4 linked regions of the Drosophila melanogaster genome follow. The protein of the gene in region 2 interacts with the protein of the main gene of each other region in a pairwise test. Each region holds a gene or a part of one and is shown on either strand. Other genes may lie near its edges. The genes, in order: Drgx, YL-1, tzn and CG13405.

Region 1 (5,540 bases), 7.3 Mb from region 2:
TTCTACGTGTCATTCAAATATGTATAAAATACCATATTCAGAAGGTCAGAAGACAGACATATTTTTGGAATTTTTTCCTGCACTTTTGCCGCCTCTTGAAGGTCAGATGCAAACCCACCACCGACCTGCTTTCATTCCCAGGGCCAGTTGCACTAATGGACTTATCGGCCACTCGAATCTCGGTTCGCCAAATCGCGACGAGACGCAGAAACACACAGATTCGCAAGAGTGCAGTGCAGCTGGAAAGTGGGATAATTCGCAAACAGACTGCTGCAGTGCCTCCGCTTGTGGATATCACATCCATGGGCATATCCACGTGCGCATCCCTGCTCCAAAGCCCCGTCCCGCTGGCATTAGAGCCACTTAAACGCATTTGCGAAATTGCCTACCGCCCACCCACACACTCGTTTAGCTCTAGTTTTCCTAGTTTTTTTTGTTTTTGTTGTTGCCCCAAACCGAGAGCGCGATAATTTCCCACTGAGGTGAGATGATATGGTAATGGGAGGAGGAGGAGGAGGTGGAAGTGGGTGGCGGTAAACTGGCCGTCCAGCGATGAGGTTATCACTTTTGCCACCGAAGTAAAGTGCATCCGTTTTTAGAAATGTCTGCCTGTCCGGCCGGCGTAATCAAACTAAACTGGCGCAGTCTGCCACTGATGATCCAACTTGGAGTGGGCTGTGATATGATGGATACAGTAGAGCTTCCAGGTGCGGAAAGGATTTTTCAATATAATATTCATATCACAGTAGCTGAGAGTTATGATCTATCTACTCAATGATCTATCTAATATTTAAATGAAATACATACAAGTTGTTACACTTTCATGTTTTTGGAATCTCCACTGTCTAGCCAAACCATTTGCATATGCCCCCATCTAAGTATCCCTCTTGATTGCAGTTTTGGTTGAGCGTTTTCCTTTTTTTTTTTGCATATTTTTTTGCTGCTCTTGTTTTTGTCTCGCGGCGCATTAAGCGAATTTGCGAGGTTCGAATTTGATTGTGTCAATTGGCTCGCGCCTAGAATCAGGGAATCAGAGCCTCAGTGTAAATCGGACCGAAATGATGCAGTGCATTTGGCCGGAGAGCCACCCACCAGCGAATCAGCGCCCGAATGCTGCACTGCAAAAAATGAGCGTAAATTGAATTAGGCAGCCGTGTTGCACCCCCGCCAGTTTTTCGTGTCCAAGTGCCGCCAGCTTATACAAACTCGAAAGCCAAACAGAGCCGATTCCGAAAGCTAACCCTTTCAATTATATATACTTGATATACATACATAAATACATATATGTATGGTATATCGTCATCTTCGGGGCGCCCGCATGGGGAGGAAAATCCGTTGATCACCCCTACTGACTTGGTCTTCTTGTTTTATAAATATTTTGATTGAATTTTCTGTTTAATTAAAGCAAATTGTTTTGTGCATTTCAGTTGGTTAGGGTATGGGAGGTGTTGGCACCATATATTTATTAAGCTTTGTGGGGGGTCGTTAAGTGATTGAGAAACACAGGGGATGAATTAAAGTGGGCTATGAAATTTGCTAAGAGTGTGATGACGAAATCAAATGAATATGCTATATACAGATAATCAGTTCTAATTGTCGAATTATTCATTATAAATATATTAATATATTACAATAAGTTAATATTTAGATGGTTAAATATCTTTTTGAAACTAGTGGTACGGTGACATGTCTCATTTGCATATGGAAAGCCTCGGCGAGAATGTGTGGACTCCAATCTATCCATCAATTTGGAGCATTCACCAATTCGTTGCCCAATTCAATCAAGCAATCAATAAACATGGCCGAACTAACCTCCTTCGACTAACGTTCTCTGCGGTAATTCCATTTGCTAATTTAAATATGCCAAATTGTATTTTATTTGTATGCGGCCCTATCGCACCAGCCCCCTTTTTAACCCCCCCATTCAGCGCCCATTTCACTGCCCCTTTTTTGCACCCATGCTTCCCTAATTGAGTTGAACGAATCGAACAAAACTTGGCGACGAATGGAAAAACCGTTCGTCAACTCCAATTGACTCCTATGTGGATCCATCCAGTCAGACTTCCCAACCCTGTGTGCCACCCACCGCCCTCTTGCGTGGGCGTGGCATCCAGTGGAGCGTTGAACGTTTGCATGGCTGCCAATTAATTTGCGGTTGATCAATTTAATTTGAAACTTCGTTTTCCCCACTTCTTTTTTTTTTTGTTTGGTTTGCTCTTTGGCGAATTATTTGCCATTGATTTTGTACCCTTGCTCCATCTCCGTTGCGCACATGGAGAATCGGAATCCACGAGCTGTCTCCTCTTTTTTTCCCTCTCTTAATTACCATCAATTATTCAAACTGCATTTGCGGAGTGATCAACTTTTGGTCTGTCTTCAATTAAGCGGCGAGTTTTCAACCGAAATACCCCATCCCTTGCTGTTTTCGGGGGCAATCTCCTTTTGGATCCTTGCTGCCGAATCCTTTATGCATACACCAATTTTGGTTTTAATTCTTTTTTCGCCTCCAATCCACGCTTCTTTCACATTTGCACTTCAAGTGCTTGACGAGTTTTGTGCGATTTCTCACAGGAAAGGCATCGGCACAAACACTTTTGCCAGACACTTCGGGTCTGGCTCACAAAAACACACACTCCAGGACTCCGGACTCTCGAAGGCCGAGATTCTTATCACACTGAAACTCATTAGGAAATTTCCTTAATGCAAATTAAAAGCGTCTAAATAAATTATGAGCGCACGGTGTGCTGCGATTTGAATGGGAAGTTGAGGATTATCTTTTGAATCAGTTGCTTGAGGATAACAAACAATTCGATCATAACGTTCCAAAACCCGTTAATAATAATTCTTTTCTAAAGGAATTTCCGACTTTGTTATAAATCAAATGAGTGCATAAGAGATATTACCTTATTACCGTCCGTGAAAATTTTGGCAGCAATACTTCAAGCGTGTGACAGAAGAAAATCCCTTGTCGCTCTTGTTTTTTTGACTTTTTGGCGCTGAGCTCTGTTTGAGTTTAACTTTTTCGCAATTTTCACAGAACGAACGAACACGCAAGACAAAGGTGCGAAAGTTTCCCCGAGCTAAACAAGTCTAAACACTTGCCAGGAAGTTTTGCAAAAAGTTTTCAACAAGGATACGTGGGCGAATCACAAAGGAAGTTGGGCAATGTTAAGGATTCCTCTACAAATTACACGCTCAATCTCAGAGGTAATAGGCCGCAAAGAGTAGTTAGTTTTGGGTTAAGAACAAACACACACGTAGGTTTAGCACTTGAAGGAGCTGGATGTCTATGAGGAGTTTTGAGTTTTTCCAGCCTTGTTCGCAGCACCGTTTTGCCGACGGAAAAGTTTCCTTTTAGAGATTAAAAAATTGTCATTTAATCCAGACGGGTAATACGTATTTTTTCGGGGGATTTAGTAAGATCTATATGACATATATATAGTAGTGTGGATAGTGTTCAACCGACCGCGTGAAACGTCAGAATGCGAATGATCTAACGGTGCTTGCCGCAGTCGCAACGTCGACAGCGCAGTCGGCTGCAAATTAGATCTGCGCCGGCAGAAAGATGGCTGCGGGTGGGAAAGAGATGGAGGAGGAGGAATGGGGATGATGCCCCTAAGCGCCGCCTTTGCCATTTCCCGTTATTTTCGCTCGCGCATGCGCCGCGCAGCCAGCAAACCAAAGCGCAGTTGTTTCGAGACATATACCCATCTCGCTCGCTCACCCAACCCCCTCACTCCCTCTCTCTTTTGCTCTTTCTCCGGCATGTAAGACAATTTTCTCGCGCATTTTCATTGTGGAAATTGAATTTTCGGCATGGAGAGCTGCAAAAACAAAAACAGAAACGTTGAAGGGGCTCTCGTGTTCCTAATATCCCTATCTACTCTTATCCCTATCTACTTTATTTTATTACACTTTATTTAGGTGGCAAGGAGAGAGCGAGCGAAAGAGACGGGACTAGCCCCAAGGGGGGGAAGGAGAGCGCAAACAACTGAGGCAGCCTTAAATTGGATTTTCATCGTTAAGTGTGGTGAATGTGTGTGGGGCAGGGGGGTGGGGGATGCGGGAAGAAATGGGCGATACGGGAAGAAGAATCGCCTTCTTCGGGGAATCGCTTTGGTGCTCTTCGGGGAAGAGGAAGAGGATACTACAGCAGTAACAATAAGAAAACGATTACTCACCGTTGGTATTTATTTGGCATATCATTTTTTACCCCTCCCCACCCCCCACGAACTTTTTCTTTTCTTTGTGCCCCACTTGACAACTCAATTTATTTAGATTAATCTCTCATCTTGGGCAAAAAATAAATAACTAAGTGAATTTCAGTTAATTTATTATGGAGCATCATTGTTATGGCTTTTCTGTTTCCTCCCCCAAAGAAGAAAACACCCCGTATAATAGCAATTCCCAATCCCAGTGACGCCATCTTGGATCCCATTTATTATTGTTTGCCTGAATGGGTTCCTCTAGCTGTCCTTCGCCCCTCGACCTCTGACCCCTCTCTCAACCCCACCCCCCCTTCTTGCCACATGGCTCTTTGGCCACAATTACGAAATGAATTTGTGGCCTTCCGCAGTCCCTATTCTTCCCCTTTTATGCACTGCCGTAATTCCATCACAAATCTTACCTGAAATGTTCTTATTCCTAGGTAAAACATTATATAAATATCAAGCGAAATAAAATACTTTGCTTTACAATCTTTGAAATAGTATGAGTAGATGCTCTTCAAATTCTAAAAAAAACATGTAATATTTTTTATAATATTTTGCAACTGCTTTCTATTTTATTATCATAATCCAATTGTAAAAACTTGATCATCATTTGAGAATATATTTTTTAAAGTGTTCTGAATTTGGCATTTTGGGCGTGCAGGATAACTATTCAGTTTCTTCTGGCTCTCCTACGCTCTCCCCTCGCCTGCCGCTCCTTTCATTTGGGGGTAGCCTGTCAGGCCTGCAAATTGGCGCCCTGATTTATGACTTTGTCTATTGTTAGCTTACTTCCTTTGCCACCCACAGGCTCCTGGATTGCGGCCCCACTACGTTCCTCCATCATTAGTTTGTATTTTAGTTTCATTTCCAATCCGAATTTCATTTCATTTTGCGCTTAAATTTTGTTTTGTCCTCTTTGATTGTGTTTATTTTCCACTCCCTCTACATTTTCGGCGCTTTTCTTGGTTGGTTCGTTTTAGTGGAATTACCTACTTCATAATAGATGAGTCTGGGATTCGTTTTGGACGCCAGAGAGAAGGCGTGGCACTCGGCTTCTAACGCCTCTTCCTTTGGCAGGTGAGTTTCCAGCGATTCGGAGGAGGAAAAAAGATTTTTCCATCCACGGAAACTACTCGTGTTGCATTTTCCACTTTGGGTGGATGATTTTATAACAGTTTGCTTGTCATAAAATTGTCAATATTGGCGAAGTTATCAGTTATGTGATAAGCTTTGTTGTTATGAGCTATTTGTTATAATTTTACAAAAATTACTTAGAGATGCGCTTATTAATAACTTAAGCAAATAGCACGCCTTGGCTTTCTTAATCTT
Region 2 (4,847 bases):
TCATGTAACATTGTATCTCGACTGCGACTACGTTGAAGATTGGTGGTGACCGTCCTCGTTGTATTCCTTGTTGACCTTAAGGGAATGATTAATAACGCTCGAGCCGCCTGGAGGATAGTTCGGGGCAGGCCCTGATCCCGGGCCGCTGGCAGGCTGCTGTGCCTGAGGCTGATTGGGGATCGCATTTGGGTTGTTAACTGGATTCTGTCCGGGAGCCCCCTGCGGTGGATAGCCGCCTGGATATCCGGACGGGTCGGGTGGATACATTGATGGTGGCGGAGCTTGTTGCGGGTGTGGCGGTGGTGGTGGTGGTGGGGGCATGTACAGATTGTAGGGATATGAAGGATAGCCTCCCATTTGAGGATACGGAGGATACGGCATGTACGGATTGTAGAGATATGAAGGATAGCCTCCCATTTCTTGATACGGAGGATAGCCCGGATTAGGATATGCAGGATAATTGTACTTGTGCTCCGTCTTGGAGTGCTTGTGCTTCTTCTCTCCACTGCTGCTGCTGCTGCTGTCGCTGCTATCGCTGTCCGTCCTAACCACTTCGTACTGAAGTAGCAGTACCAGAAGGACTCCAATCGCCGCACAGCTCTTCATTTCTCCGTTTAAACGCACGACGTTCGTTTGATCTAAGCTCACGGGTATGACTAAATCTTGCTCACACAATACCTTGTCCCGTTCCCGTTCCGACAATTCAAATAGCCAGCGCGTGCGTTGATTTTGATAAGTCGACAAAAACATACAGATGCGACAAGGTTGCGGCAGGGCCCACTCAACTAATTCCCTGTAAGAGTTTAGGATTGAAAAACAATTTCATTCGGAAATGAACAATACTTCGCCCATAGATTATAAATAGAGAATACAATGGGTTAATAATTTATGTGATGTAATGTCTCATACTTATTAATTAGTTATTGTGTGTCGGAACAACCGCATTTCCTCCAGATTTTGTTATATATTGCAAAGAGAGGCTGTGTGCTTATCAATTTGACGCAAATTAAGCGAAACAATTCTTTTGAATAATCTTAATAGAAGACTGCGACGCTTTTATTATTTAGACAACTAAACTTTTAAATAGAGCGGCAATTAAAATTAGATACTAAAAGGTAATAAATGGGTTTTACATATACAAATTGGATTAGCAAGATAAACTTTCTTTTGTGTAAACTGTTTTATCAACTTCTTAAGTTAATAAACCGGATGCTGCTGATAAATAAAATCAAAACAGACTGTGCGTTGATTATAAATACTTTTTAAAGATAACGTTTTGGGAAATACCCTATGTACTACTTTTCCATTGTCGCCATTGTATGAAATATATTAGGTAATCGTTTGGTACTGCCTGAAATTGACGAGGGTTGTCCAAAGAGTAGTTTGTGATTTCTTATACCTTTTTATTCGAAAAATACGTATAGCTTAATGAACTATAAAATTGATAGCATTATTAGTTATCTCCGTTTTTGCTGGCAGCTGCCGAAGCCTTCAGACGATTCTCCTTGACCAGCTTGCGCCATTCCAGCCATTTGGCCAGTTCGGGTTGCTCGCTGCCGCCGCCTTGCTGTTCCAGCTGCATGTAGTAGGCTTCGCGCAGAATTTTGAAGGCCTGGATGCTGTAGTATGGCTGCTGTGTGATCGGGTCAAAGTAACGGGCTGGCAGCCTGGTGATTGGACAGATGCCATTGCTGGCTTTGGGAGGCGCCTTGTGGCGGAAGAGGCTTTGAAACACCTTGTCATTGAAATCGTTCTCGATTGTAACGAATGTGCGTTCGCACTTCCCAGCAAGATCCTTTGAATCGACCGCAGGGTTTGCTCCGCGAGTGGGCTTTCGCATCGCTGGCATGGTTAGTGAGTGGTAGCGTATCGTGGGTCCGGAGAACGTGCGCTTGGTGGGACGTGATTTCTTCTTCTCCAGCTCCATTTTCTGGAATTTCTCTGTGAATGCAACAGCAAATTGTAAAATAGCTGCTTCCTTGGTTGCTTTAGATACCCACCCAAAGATTTAGTGTTTTCTTCCTCGGTTATTTTGGCCTCCTCCAGCAGCTCCTCCTGCGTGGGCATGTAGTCCTCCACGCGCACCTTCTTCTTTTTGCGCTTGCGGGCATCGTCCAACTCTTTGAGGCGTATTTTGGTAGCCTGTGTCTTGATGGCCGTGGAAGTGCGTATGGATTTGCGGCCGGAATCGAGGACCGTGAAGCGTGGACGTGGCCGCCGTTTCGTTACCCCACCACCAGGTCGTTTCTTGTGCAGGGCCGGCGTTGCCTTTGTTTCCTTTTTGACTGCAGGCTTGGTTTCCTGCGGAAATCATATGTACCATTTAAACACATTCAGTAATCACAGGATTTTATCGCATTTTAAGAATGGTTCGCACCTTATAAGCCTTTGTGTTAACGACACCGCGTTTCCGCTTTTTCTCGGGCGCCTCTTCCTGATCCGAAACGGGCTCGTCGTTCTCATCGATACTGAAGTCGGAGTCAACCACATCTTCCTCTTCGTCTTTTTGCCTGCAGAGTGAATTTTATATGGCTTGAGCATTTAAATTTATTCAAATGATTAGTGCTCACTCGTATTCCTTATCCTCTTCGTCCTCCTGAAATCCACCATAGGACGTTTTGTAAAAGTCGTCCTCCTCTTCCTCATTGAGCAAATGAGCTATTTTGTTGCCGGCATTGTTGCGCCGTGATCGCGAGGCAGCCATTTTTGTTATTTATATATAGAAACTATGATTTAAAGCAGCTATTAAATAATAATATTTTACAATTTGTAAATGTAAACAAGCAGAGCAGTGTGACCAATGTAGCAAACATAGTATATATCGCAGAGGCTTTACAACTTTGGTATGCGTTTCAGCCCTGGTAAAGAAAATGGTTTCTCCTGCATTGGCAGTTATTCAAACACATTTAAAACATAGCTAAATTTATTTATTTATCTATTACATGTATCACAACAAAAAGCAGGCAGCTGCTTTAAAATCACATTAAAAAGCGGTCGGTAATTCAACTACCGAAAGTAGACCACATTACTTTACACTTGCGCTGGCCACACTCTTGGCTTGTTGCTTTTTATTCTGCCGGCTGCCTGCATTTTCTGATTTAATTTAATACCATCGATAAAAAGACTGCTCGCAACATGTCGGAACAATGGGAGGTGGTCTCCAAGTCGCGCAAGCAAAAGAATCTGGACAAGAAGGTGTCTGCACACAACGAGCAGAAGCGCATCGCGGCCCAGTTGCCCAAACTGGAGGAGCTGTGTAAGAATCTTTTAAAAGGTGCACCTTGCAATGCGATTACATGTTTGCCCCTGCCATTTTATTCACTTCGCAGTGCCAACTCAGCGGTATCGCAATTTGTTCGGCAGCAGCAACAACAACAACAGCAAGTCCCATTCCCCTGCGAAATCTAGTTCAAGTGCCTCATCTTCCTCAAAAGCCAATAAGTCGCCAGTTAAAAAGCACACCGCAAAGAATGCCTCTACCCAAAAAAGGACCACGTCGGCAGCCGCATCGAAGCCAAAGACTCTGGAGCTGGCCTTGAGAAACATCACCCGGGATGATTTTGCTGCCCAACTGGAGCAGGTGAAGCTCAGTTGTCCTGGCTCCGAGCTGCGCTGGTTAAGCCATGTATGTTTCTAAAGGAAATGTGCCTAAATATTTGCTCACCTATCGTTGTCCCCCAGATTGCGCTATACTTCAATGAAGCCTTGTCCTATGACTGCGATCCCATCTTCTCCGGCCGCTCGGCTCAGTATCCCAGCAATTTGGCCAGCGCCTCGCTCAAGTACTCAATTGTGGAGTTTCTGGGCAGTGTGGGCGAACAAAACCTGGAGTATTTCTTCTACTCCCTGCTGGATAGCATGTCAACGGATCTAAACAACAATCAGACAGTGGCAGGCTACAAGCTCATCCTACAGTTGATCGGTCAAAACTGGCCGAACATTTGTTCTAGGAACCTGGCCAAGACTGCGTTGCTAAGGAACTCCTATCAGAACCGTAGCAACATCTGCCTGAGCATCCTGTGGGCAATTGGACAAGGTGGCTATCAGTCCCTAAACGAGGGCGTTCGCGTGTGGCAGAACCTGATGCTGCCCAACCTGGAGCTAAAGCAGTACACCAAGTTTGTGGTCGAGTATATGGAGCGGGCTCTGAGTGCAGCAGCTGTCCGGAAGACAGCGGATCCTCTGCAGATCAACCAGCAGGAGTTCTTTGCCACTTACAATGCGCTCAATGCACCCTATAACCACCTGCCCAAGGAATGGCAGCAAAGTCTGAAGCGTAGTGCGCGTTTGTTGCTTGTAAGGACGAAAACAATTGATAGTTGTCCCATTGTTTCACTGACCTTTCTTCCTCCTGTGTGTAGCAACACTATATCAACAGTCCTGTGAGGCATGCCAACATATTCCTTACGCTCTTCCGGGAAATAAGCGCCGGATCCAAGCAGACTAATGAGATCGAAGGCTGTATTAGTTGTCTGCTCAGCAGCGGCAGAGATGATTGCCTCAGGGTGTGGCGCATGAACTACAAGAAGCAACAGTTGCCTAGTCTACTGCTTCTGAAAGCTATAAGTACGATCTACAGCTGTGAAAATTCATTTAATTGGATTTTTGTTTAAAAGTACCACCCACACTTAACGTTAATGTGTTATCTAATATTGAATTTCTATCTTTTCCTAGACGACAATTGGACCACGTCTACCCATGAGTTGGCTACGTCGACTGTGTATCACTCTTTTCTGCAAGATGTGGCGAATCTGAACGAAGAACTGCAGGGAAGCAAGAGAAACGAAGGTCACCTAGATGATTTAAAGGAGGTTTTGTTGGTGAGTGCGACTTAAGTATATCACTCG
Region 3 (4,764 bases), on a different chromosome or scaffold from region 2:
AGAGATTGAGGATGTCTTCCTCGATTTGTCCATCATTTCGCAGGGCAGCAGGGTGAAATCCACGCTGGCCTGCAGATTCACGGACAGATCGACATGTTCCCGCTCGCAGTGGCTGGGCAGGGGAATGTTCTCCTTGTCGGCATGTTCGGAAACCCTCGCTACTGATGCTGATCCTGTGCTGCAGCACTTCGATCCCGAGCTGTCCTCAGCATGGTGTTCCGACACCTCGTACGAGTCGTCCCAGTTGTTGGTCTCCTTGGTGTTTACGAATTCCCTATGTGGAGGGCGGGTGAGCGTTGTACATCGCATATATCTACTGTACGTACCTCACGGACTTCTTGCCACTGAAACTGATGCGTCGCTTGATTTGTTGTTTGATCGCGGACGTTGTTGTGGTCGCCTCATCTTCCTTGGTCGGCACCTTACGCAGCTGCAAGAAGAGTAGGTCTACCATGAGCGCTTCTCAATCAATTAATTTTCGAAGAACCCACCGAACTTCTGCGTTTGTTTGCGTTCATCGCGCCGTGCTGTTAACTTGTTTTTATTTCAAAATCCCATTGGAGAGACGCCGCGATTTTTGTGTTAATGGCAGACGGTGTTGCCAGATCGTTGGCGATAGATCGCTAGAAATACCAAAAGTATTTTTGATATGCCCAAAAGGCACTAACGCCTAACCAAAACCGTTGTGATTCAAATTTTACGAAATTTGCTAAAATCTTTGGATTTAAAAAATTTGTTAAGTTCATTGCTCTATGAATAAAGTTGGAATCAACCAGTACCCTCTTCTCTAGGGTGTTGCTAGACCAAAATACCAAAAATAAATTCTTTTAAATAAAGCTGAAGAAATAAATTTATGTCATAATTTGAATAAAACAAAAAAAGTTTTAATCCGATAAATTGCGAATAATTAAAAATCCATTGTCCGCACTTCACACACATCGTTAATTTTATTAACCATTAAAATCCAATATTAAATCACAAGTTTCGAAACTTTCGAGGAAATAGATCAGGCTTTGAAGGTGTCCTTTTCCTTGCGCAGCTTGCCCATGGTGACGACGGGATCGGTGGCTCCGCCAGCGTGCTTCTGCACGGTGGCTTCGTGAACGCGCATAAAGGGGTTCCAGGACTTCTCCTCGCCAATGGTGGAGGGCACAGTGGGATCCTGGGAGGCGCGCCGGTGCTTGGCCCACTCGATCCTCTGCTGGATGACCTCGTTGTCGGGCTCGACGTGACGGGCGAAGCTCATGTTCTGCAGCGTGTACTCGTGGCCACAGAACACCTTTGTGGCGTCCGGCAAGGCGGAGAGCTTTGTGCACAGCGCCTCGTACATTTCCTCGGGAGTGCCCTCGAAGAAGCGGCCGCATCCGCCCTGGAAGAGGGTGTCGCCGGTGAAGACGGCTCCCTCGCCGCTGCCCTGCTGCGCGGTGATGTGGTAGCAGATGTGGCCGGTAGTGTGGCACGGCGTGGACAAGCACTTGACATGCAGACCACCAATGGTGAAGGTGTCGTCCTGCTGAACCTTTTTGTTCAATGCCCCGATGCGGTCATCGCCGCCATACACGTCCAGCTCCTTCTCCCACAGCTTGAGCAGCTTTTCATTGCCACCGGCGTGGTCCCAGTGATGGTGCGTGGTCAGCACCTTGCTGAGGGTCAGCTGCTGCTCCTGCACCGTCTTAATGACCAGCTCCGGCTCCACGGGATCCACCACGGCCGCCTCGCGCGTCTTCGTGTCTACAATCAGATACATATAGTTATCCTGCAGGGCCGGCAGGATCTTGATCTCCATGCCCTCCAGCTGCACGTCCTCCAATGTGCTGTGCATGCCTCTGAAGCCGACTTTTCGTAGTTTTTGCACTGAAACGAAGCGATGGTTTCACATTTAGCTACATAGATGGCCAACAGATAAACAGACTGACTAGCTACGGACGAACAAAAAGCGTAGATACTGGGAAATGAAATTGCAGCACCGGGAGAGATTAGATTAAACACGTATGTACGGATAGATTACGCTTGACGAGACTTGGACAGATGACGGGCACAGCCAGAAAACGCCGCCGAATCGCTCCGAAACCAGGGGCATCCGCTCGAGGAATCGTCCGCCAGGAACGCAGGAGCAGTGTCGGATTGCTGGACGAACCTCGGAAGTAGGTGGCCGTCAACTGGGTCTCCACGGAGGTGGCCACGCTGCGCCAGGCGGAGGCCAACATTCTGTACTTTCGGCTAGATAAACTGAAAAGCGTGTGCGATTCGAAATGAATTAATTATGGCTCCTAATTACAGTTGTTTTTTTCTCCAAATCTGCTATGCTCGGGCGAGTGTGACCGTTTGGGGGCCGGTAAGGGAAACCACTGACGGGTACACCATCTACCGGAAATATACCGAAACATACCTGCAAACGTAGTGGTGGCTCAAACCGGAAATGAAAAGTTTTATAGCACAGACATAAGCCAATAATAATAAAAATACATTTTTATATTAAATTATATATTCTTGTCTCTAGGCCAAAGAGTATATGTTCTCTTCTGTGGTAAAAAGCTTATAAGTTAACTTTTTGGCACGCCTAACTTGAATTCAGATCATATGTACGAAAAAGACGTCAGTTGGCTTTGAAGCGGCACGTCATAAGTTTAGAACATAAAGTCACTATGTCGGAATCAACCGATCCCCATTGCGCCACCTCCAAGTCCAACCTGATCAAGGTGAACCACGTGGGGGTGACGGCCAAGCTGCAGTCTCCCCTGAAGAAGATCTTCCCACGGCTGAACTCCTCCAGCGATTCCGACGCATATCAGCACAGTCAGACGCAGTACAACATGTTCAAGGATGTGGCGCACGGGGAAATGACCGCGTCCACGGATTCGGGGAGCTCACCACACACTCTGTACGAGATGCACGCTGAGCCGGGGAAGAGTCAGCTTAGCCTGAGCAAGAGCAAGCCCCAAAGGATCGAGTTCCAGCGTTACTCCAAGCGCCGTCCCCGTGTGCTCGTCCCAACGAGAACTGCGCCGAAAGTGAAGGGTCGTGCCACAAAGTCCCACAAATCATCGCAGGCGCAGAAGCAGAAGCAGAAGAGTGGCTTTCTAGCCCGTTTAGTGGAGTCGCTGGACAAGATGTGCAAGTGCCAGCCGCAGAGCCGAAATTCCATCATCGACGATCTGCCGGAGCCACAGTGGAATCGCAAGGAGGCCAACCGGCACACCTGCATCGGCATCTATCCCTTCGAGCATGGCTGCGCCGACTATCTGAGCACCACGGACTCGCATCCGAAGATCAATGCTATTGTCCTGGCCGACCGCGCCACCACCTATGCCACCCACTTCTGGGCGGAGCTCTTCGGACTGCTGCACATCGCCGTGGCCTTCGTGGTAGCCTTCATTCTGCAGAGCTACCGATTTGTCCTCTACTCCCTGGTGAACACCCTGATCGTTGGACTGCTCCACATGACCTCCGACTACTTGCTCAAGCCCCTCCTGACCATGCTCTTCAACGGCTACCTGCAGCCACCACTGATTTTCCTATACAATGTACTGTGCTCCGCCAGGGACATCCTCGATCCGGTGGCCACCACCCTGAACAACTTGATGAAACCGCTGGCCACGGTGGGCGGCAGTATACGATTGGTGGACGTCAACTATCGCCAGGTCCATAAGCTGGCCAAAGAGGTTTGAGTTTCGTTTCGTTTACGCTGTTAAATTGTTATTGTTCGTTTTCGAAGTGCTTTTCTTGTTATATTAAAAATAAGTACGGACTTTATATAAATTCTACTCATTTTAAATTAAGGATAGAAAACTACAACTGCTTGTACAAATGTAATATAATGCAATATATAATATCAGGCAATAATATTATTAAATACATATTTTTTATATTTGTATATAATCAATATTTGTATGAACTATAAATTTAAAAGGATTCCCCCATTGAATCTGTTTCATTTCAATTTTGTTCCGTTGACCGTTTTGTTTCACTTCCACTTGTTCCCGTAGGCGGAGCCATTACAACCCCTAAAACTGAAGAAGTTTTTCCACCTCGCAGCCTTCACACAATATTACGCACATTCCAAAAAACCTTCTCGGATTACATTGTTTTTCTCGTTTCACAGAAGTGTAGGCATGGTGACCCACCCCTGCCCCTCGGAGAAGGAGAACTTAGGGGTAAGTTCTGGCTCAATTACGTTGAATGAAACATTTATGATTTATTTGCTCATTTTGCGGCCGGGGAAAGCATATGTCCAAAATAAAAAATAAAAAACACACTAATTGTGTCCCGCGGGAATTTCGTTTGGCAGCGCATAATTAGTTTACAATTTTCGCTTAATAAAGTCGTTAGAAAACAACGATGCACAAGAGAATTTGAAATCCCATTTAAAGCTAGCCATAAATAATATAGAACTTGAATATAAATAATATATAGTGAAAATATTAATATCGTTGGACAATTTTTCTCTATGTAATGGTGAGAAACAGCCGTCTTTTTTTTTATCAATGGTGCTTTGATTTTATCAGATTTCATTCTTCAAATTTTCATTCATTTTTGGCCAAAATTTCCCAAGAACTCTGCATACCAAATTTAGAAAGAGCAAATAAACAAATCTGATCTAGATCAGGTAGAATGATGGAAATCAGTTGCCAATCTGCTCGGGTTTCCGACTTTCAACAGAATTCCTATCCAGAAGGTAAACTGCAATCAATAATCATATTCAAATCTGGTCAGGTATACAAATAGCTGAAGAGTATTAGGTGGAAAAGTTGTAGTTTTGTTGTT
Region 4 (4,585 bases), on a different chromosome or scaffold from region 2:
GTTCATAAGTGGTTGTGTTTGTGACCCACCAGCGAAAGTCTATATCCACACAAAAAAAAAAATGAACACGAGACGCAATTCTTTTTCCATCTGCTCGCCCTTCCACTGAAGCTTGTTCTGGAGGGGCATGACACCTTGATTCTTTTTTCTTCTTCTTATTGTGTTTCCGTTTCACTTGCTCGCCAACGTTATACATACATACATACACGTTATACATACATACATACATACATGTATCTAAAAAAAAAAACATGAATAATTACGACTCTCCTAGATCCGACTCCGCGATTCTGAATCTTCCTAGAGTATTTTTCGCACACTTTTTTTGGGCGGCGAAGATATATACCAAGGTTGTTGGAACGAGACGGGGAGACTGGGAACGTGGAATGGAGCACAGGCGCGTAAAAAATACCCAAGCCGCAGACAGTGCAATAACAACAAGCGGGAGAACGCAGTAGGGTTGGAGAATTGGGTGGGGGGGGGGGGGGGGGGCGAAGAGACATGAACAGAAGACCCAAGGCAGAGGTCCAAAAAACAGAAACAGAACCAGATGGAAAATGGAATGGAATCGAAGCACAGTTAAAGGAATTTTGCTGTATACGTTAATGTGTGCTTGTTTTTGTGTCTGGGCACACACTCATAAACAATGATGAACGGGGTGAATGGACGCAAGGTGACGTCGCAACGCGGTCGAAGCCGCTGCTTCTGCACATTGGGTTGGCGAATTTGGCGCCGACAACATTCCCCTTCTAAAATCGCGCTTTTGAATTTTCCACCTTAGGGTTAAACCATAAATTTCTAAGTTGCAAGTCCACATAAATTATCTTTTAATCGAAATAATTTACATTTCACTTTTCTCCAAATCTTTCTAAATGTAAATAAAATTTAAACAGTGACCAGTTGTGTAGAAAACGTCAAACTATCTCGTTTTTGCGAAGTGTTCCCCATCAAGCGCCACAATGGGCGTGGCACTTGGCGGAGAGTGAGAATTGAGGCATAATAAAAGAAGGAGGAGGGAACGAAGAAATCATCGAGAGAAGTTTTGGTTCAATTCAGTTCGTTTCGATTCATTCTCGTCTACTGGCGTCTTTCTGTGCCTCTTCGGTTATTTGTTTATGGCTGTTTTGCTTTGATCCCCTTATTCTGTCTGGGGGCACAATCGTCTTGTTTTTGCGCTTATTGCTATTGCTCTACACTTTCCCGCTATTTGGCTACTCCACGTCTGGACTCTTGACTATTAAACCCAGCTAAAAGAAGTGCTAGGCAGATATTTTAGAAATCGAGGGATTAAATTAAATTTTGCATTTACTTGCATTTTATTGAAATTTTCTTGCATTTTTTATTCACATTCCCTCCATCCTTTCCCATTTTATTGAGTGCAGTGTCGTTGATATGTGTAGATATGTATATATGTAAAATATGAAGATATTCCACAATTATTCAAGTATTTTCATAACTTTTCCCCGTCAATTTTCGGAAACTCCGCTAGGAAACTAGGTACAACATAGTCCATTATCCGATTCAGAATCCGACTCATATTCGTCAGCCGAATCCGTGGGACAAAAGCCTGATAAGGTCGATTGTAGTTCAGTATAAAAGTAGCTCTTCTCGTCCTCTGTGACTTCCATTTCTATATCTCTGTAGCGCCTAGGTGAACCGAAGTTTTGGAGGTGCATGGCTCTATTCACGAGAACCTTTAAATGGATCTCCTCATGCTCCTGACAGACCCTAAGTTGTTTGTATTCCTGCTTGTCTCTATAAGTCTTGCACTTCTTGAACATCAGTCGATTGGACTTTGCCTTGAGCTCTTTTATAATCCTGTTCTGCGCATCAATAGCGTTGACCACCTCCTGATACTCCTTGTACATTGCCTGTTGCTCTTCATCGTCTTCATCGCTCTCATTGAGGAGCTCAAAGGGATCCTTCTCCTCCACCTCGAACTTATCTTCCTCTTCAACGTCCTGTTCGTCTCCTTCGCCCTCTCCCTCAAAATCTTCAGCAGCTTCTTGTCCTTCATTTTGCTCATTATCAACGTCTCCAGAGGCTTCTTGCTCCACATCAGACATTGCTTCGGATGTTAGGGATAAATTGTATTAAGCGATGCAGGGGTATTAGTTTACATAATTATGAAATACTTTAATAAACCAAATTTTGATATATAAATCAAATACAAATTGTTGTAGTAGATTTATCATGTGATCGACAAACGTAAACATAAAACTCCACACCTTAGAGCCAGTAAAATCTCAGTTTACTGCACACAACAACTACTTTTATTATTTCAGTTCGCCATTTTTTTTAGCACTTCAATAACTTCCGTTTCCGTTTCCCTCGTTATTAGATCTTTTCATATACGATTTATTGTTCTTCTGCCATCATGATAGCTGTTGCGCCGTTAACTTCATTCCTTCTACAATCTCATCTCTCTTATTTCACGCTTTTATTGACTCAGTGATTTCTTGTGGCTGGATCCGGTGGATTACGTTTCAAAGCGCACCACTCGACGGCATGCGTTCGCATTAATTATAGAAACTACAGAATGCATTTTAATTTGGCATAATGTTTATCTCGCAGCAGGGTCGTTTCATCGTACTACCGGTAGTTAAGACGTGAATTCTAACAGATTACAACCTGTAAGCCAGGAAAGAAAGGGTATGTATTTGATAACTGGCCCAGCGACACAAGTTGCTGTTTTAATATCAAACTGGTGCATTGAATGGCATAATAGGAATGCACAATATGTACGCAAAATGTACCTGCAAAGTTGTGTGCAATGAAAGACAAAAATGTAGAGAACAATGTTTAGCAAAGAAATTGAATATGTCGATATAGGGATATACAAATTTAAATTTATTTATTTATTTAATTTAATTTATTTGAATTTACTTAATTAAATAATAAGCACCTTGTTTGGTCCAAGCTTAAGCTTTTATCCTTGATGTTTTCTTGATTACGTCCCTGTTTAATTTTTGGCGTAATTACCAATTGCTTGCGAGTCCCTGAAAGCGACAGTTGCATTAGAAGCGAACACCCATAGCCAGAGCCTATGGGTTTTATCGTCCGTATCAAGGTGGCTTTTCGATTAGCTCCCCATTCAGATTACGCATACGTCACTTAAGCTCAAAAAGACTGCGCCGCCCATTTTAAATCAAATAACGGGCAATTTAATTTACAAAGTTGAAAGCAAGCATAGGCCACCCCCTTTAAGTCTCATACATATTTTGATTTTTATTGGGACATTTTATTCTTTTTTTTTTTTTTTTTTTTTTGATTCCTTTCAGACCATGCAAGTTGCATCAAGTTTTTCTTCCGCTCAGACTTTTGTTTTCCTTTGTCTTGCATCTTTTTTGTGCTATTGTTACAACGGAATGGGGACTGTTTTTTTGTTTATGCCTCTACTGAATAAAATGGTTTCATTAAAAAAGTTTTAAACTTTTTCATTTAATTTAACTGCAGCAAACAACAAGCATCCTTCATCATGAAGCCTTTCTCCTTCTGCGCTTTTCTTTGCCCACTCTCTTGCCATTTTTCACTGCAACTATTTTGTAGAGAGCATCTGTTTCAGATATAGAGATCCTTAGCATGCTTTGATTGTTTTTTTTTTTTTTTTGAATGAGTTTCAATTAAACTTTTCTATTTCCATTTATTGTGCATTTTCCTTCCGCAGCGTATGCTGTCGCAGTTTGTTTCAGTGAGTTGCCACCCCGATTATCACCTGAGTGAGAGGTATCTTGTAGTCGAGGCACTCTACTCTCTCTGTCCTGGTAAACTTTTATTTTAAAATGGCCTCTTAAACGTATTGTCAACTCAGTATATTATTTCGTCGCTTGATTTCCTTTTTTGTTATTATTTTAATCATTCCCATTCACAGAGCATAATTTAAAAGGGGACGTAATAAAAAAGTCGTGTGATGGTGTGAGAATAGGGTTTGTTGAGACCGCCCTTTCTAGTAAGCCGGTCTTCATGTGGCATGACAACATGTCGTATTTGTAATATTTAAACACAACCGCTCAGCGAAGGTTGACAATCTTTGACATTAGACGGGCGTAATGATGAACTCTGACACGCTCAAGGGATGGCAGCGAAGGGAGGAGGTGGAAATGTGAGCGGGGCAGACCCAGAAGAAAAATCAATTTTTGCACAAAAAAAGGGCAAACAAAAAAACAAACACATTGCAATACCAATATTAACAACAATAATAAGTGATGTAAACAAAGTAAATAAATGCGTTGTAATTCCACATGATGAACTGGGGGTAAAAATTGCTGTTAGCATCACGGGTGGCAATAAACCACTTCGTAACTTTAATGTCAAGGAATGCTGCAGTACCAGTCAACTGGACTCAATAAGACAAGGCTGCTCACAAAAAAAAAAAAAAACTATCTCGTGTTTAAATCCAAATATATAATTCCGCTTGACATATATATAAAACTCATCAGTTACCACATGTTGAACATTAAAAACAAAGTTTATTTTCTGAGGAACAGAATTAAAAAATGTTCCGGCGTAGGATTTTGGCGAGTGTAAGAGATTAGATGTGTGTCCATGAAAAGTGTCCTGTTGACTGCGTTGAAATGTCACTCTT

What was found.
Region 1: the proteins of YL-1 (region 2) and Drgx interact in a two-hybrid assay, tested with the Drosophila melanogaster proteins (one large-scale study listed by BioGRID).
Region 3: the proteins of YL-1 (region 2) and tzn interact in a two-hybrid assay, tested with the Drosophila melanogaster proteins (one large-scale study listed by BioGRID).
Region 4: the proteins of YL-1 (region 2) and CG13405 interact in a two-hybrid assay, tested with the Drosophila melanogaster proteins (one large-scale study listed by BioGRID).

What each region holds. Positions count from the first base shown.
Region 1 is NT_033779.5:3,660,670-3,666,209, reverse strand, and holds the start of Drgx (dorsal root ganglia homeobox), read right to left. Parts: upstream 3,466-5,540; 5' UTR 2,904-3,465; intron 1-2,903.
Region 2 is NT_033779.5:10,968,411-10,973,257, reverse strand, and holds YL-1 (YL-1), read right to left. Parts: upstream 2,816-4,847; 5' UTR 2,705-2,815; coding exon 2,571-2,704; intron 2,511-2,570; coding exon 2,378-2,510; intron 2,302-2,377; coding exon 2,001-2,301; intron 1,942-2,000; coding exon 1,454-1,941; 3' UTR 1,165-1,453; downstream 1-1,164. Other genes in the region: CG16743 (uncharacterized protein), read right to left, coding at 28-750; Tmem214 (transmembrane protein 214), read left to right, coding at 3,136-3,256, 3,330-3,625, 3,682-4,296, 4,362-4,566, 4,675-4,820. UniProt on the Drosophila melanogaster protein: Part of the Tip60 chromatin-remodeling complex which is involved in DNA repair. Upon induction of DNA double-strand breaks, this complex acetylates phosphorylated H2AV in nucleosomes and exchanges it with unmodified H2AV.
Region 3 is NT_037436.4:20,796,233-20,800,996, reverse strand, and holds tzn (tenzing norgay), read right to left. Parts: upstream 2,316-4,764; 5' UTR 2,208-2,315; coding exon 2,009-2,207; intron 1,855-2,008; coding exon 1,007-1,854; 3' UTR 931-1,006; downstream 1-930. Other genes in the region: Spc105R (Spc105-related), read right to left, coding at 1-274, 327-430, 492-518; CG3698 (uncharacterized protein), read left to right, coding at 2,646-3,668.
Region 4 is NT_037436.4:73,145-77,729, forward strand, and holds CG13405 (uncharacterized protein), read right to left. Parts: upstream 2,189-4,585; 5' UTR 2,067-2,188; coding exon 1,494-2,066; 3' UTR 1,310-1,493; intron 1,248-1,309; 3' UTR 801-1,247; downstream 1-800.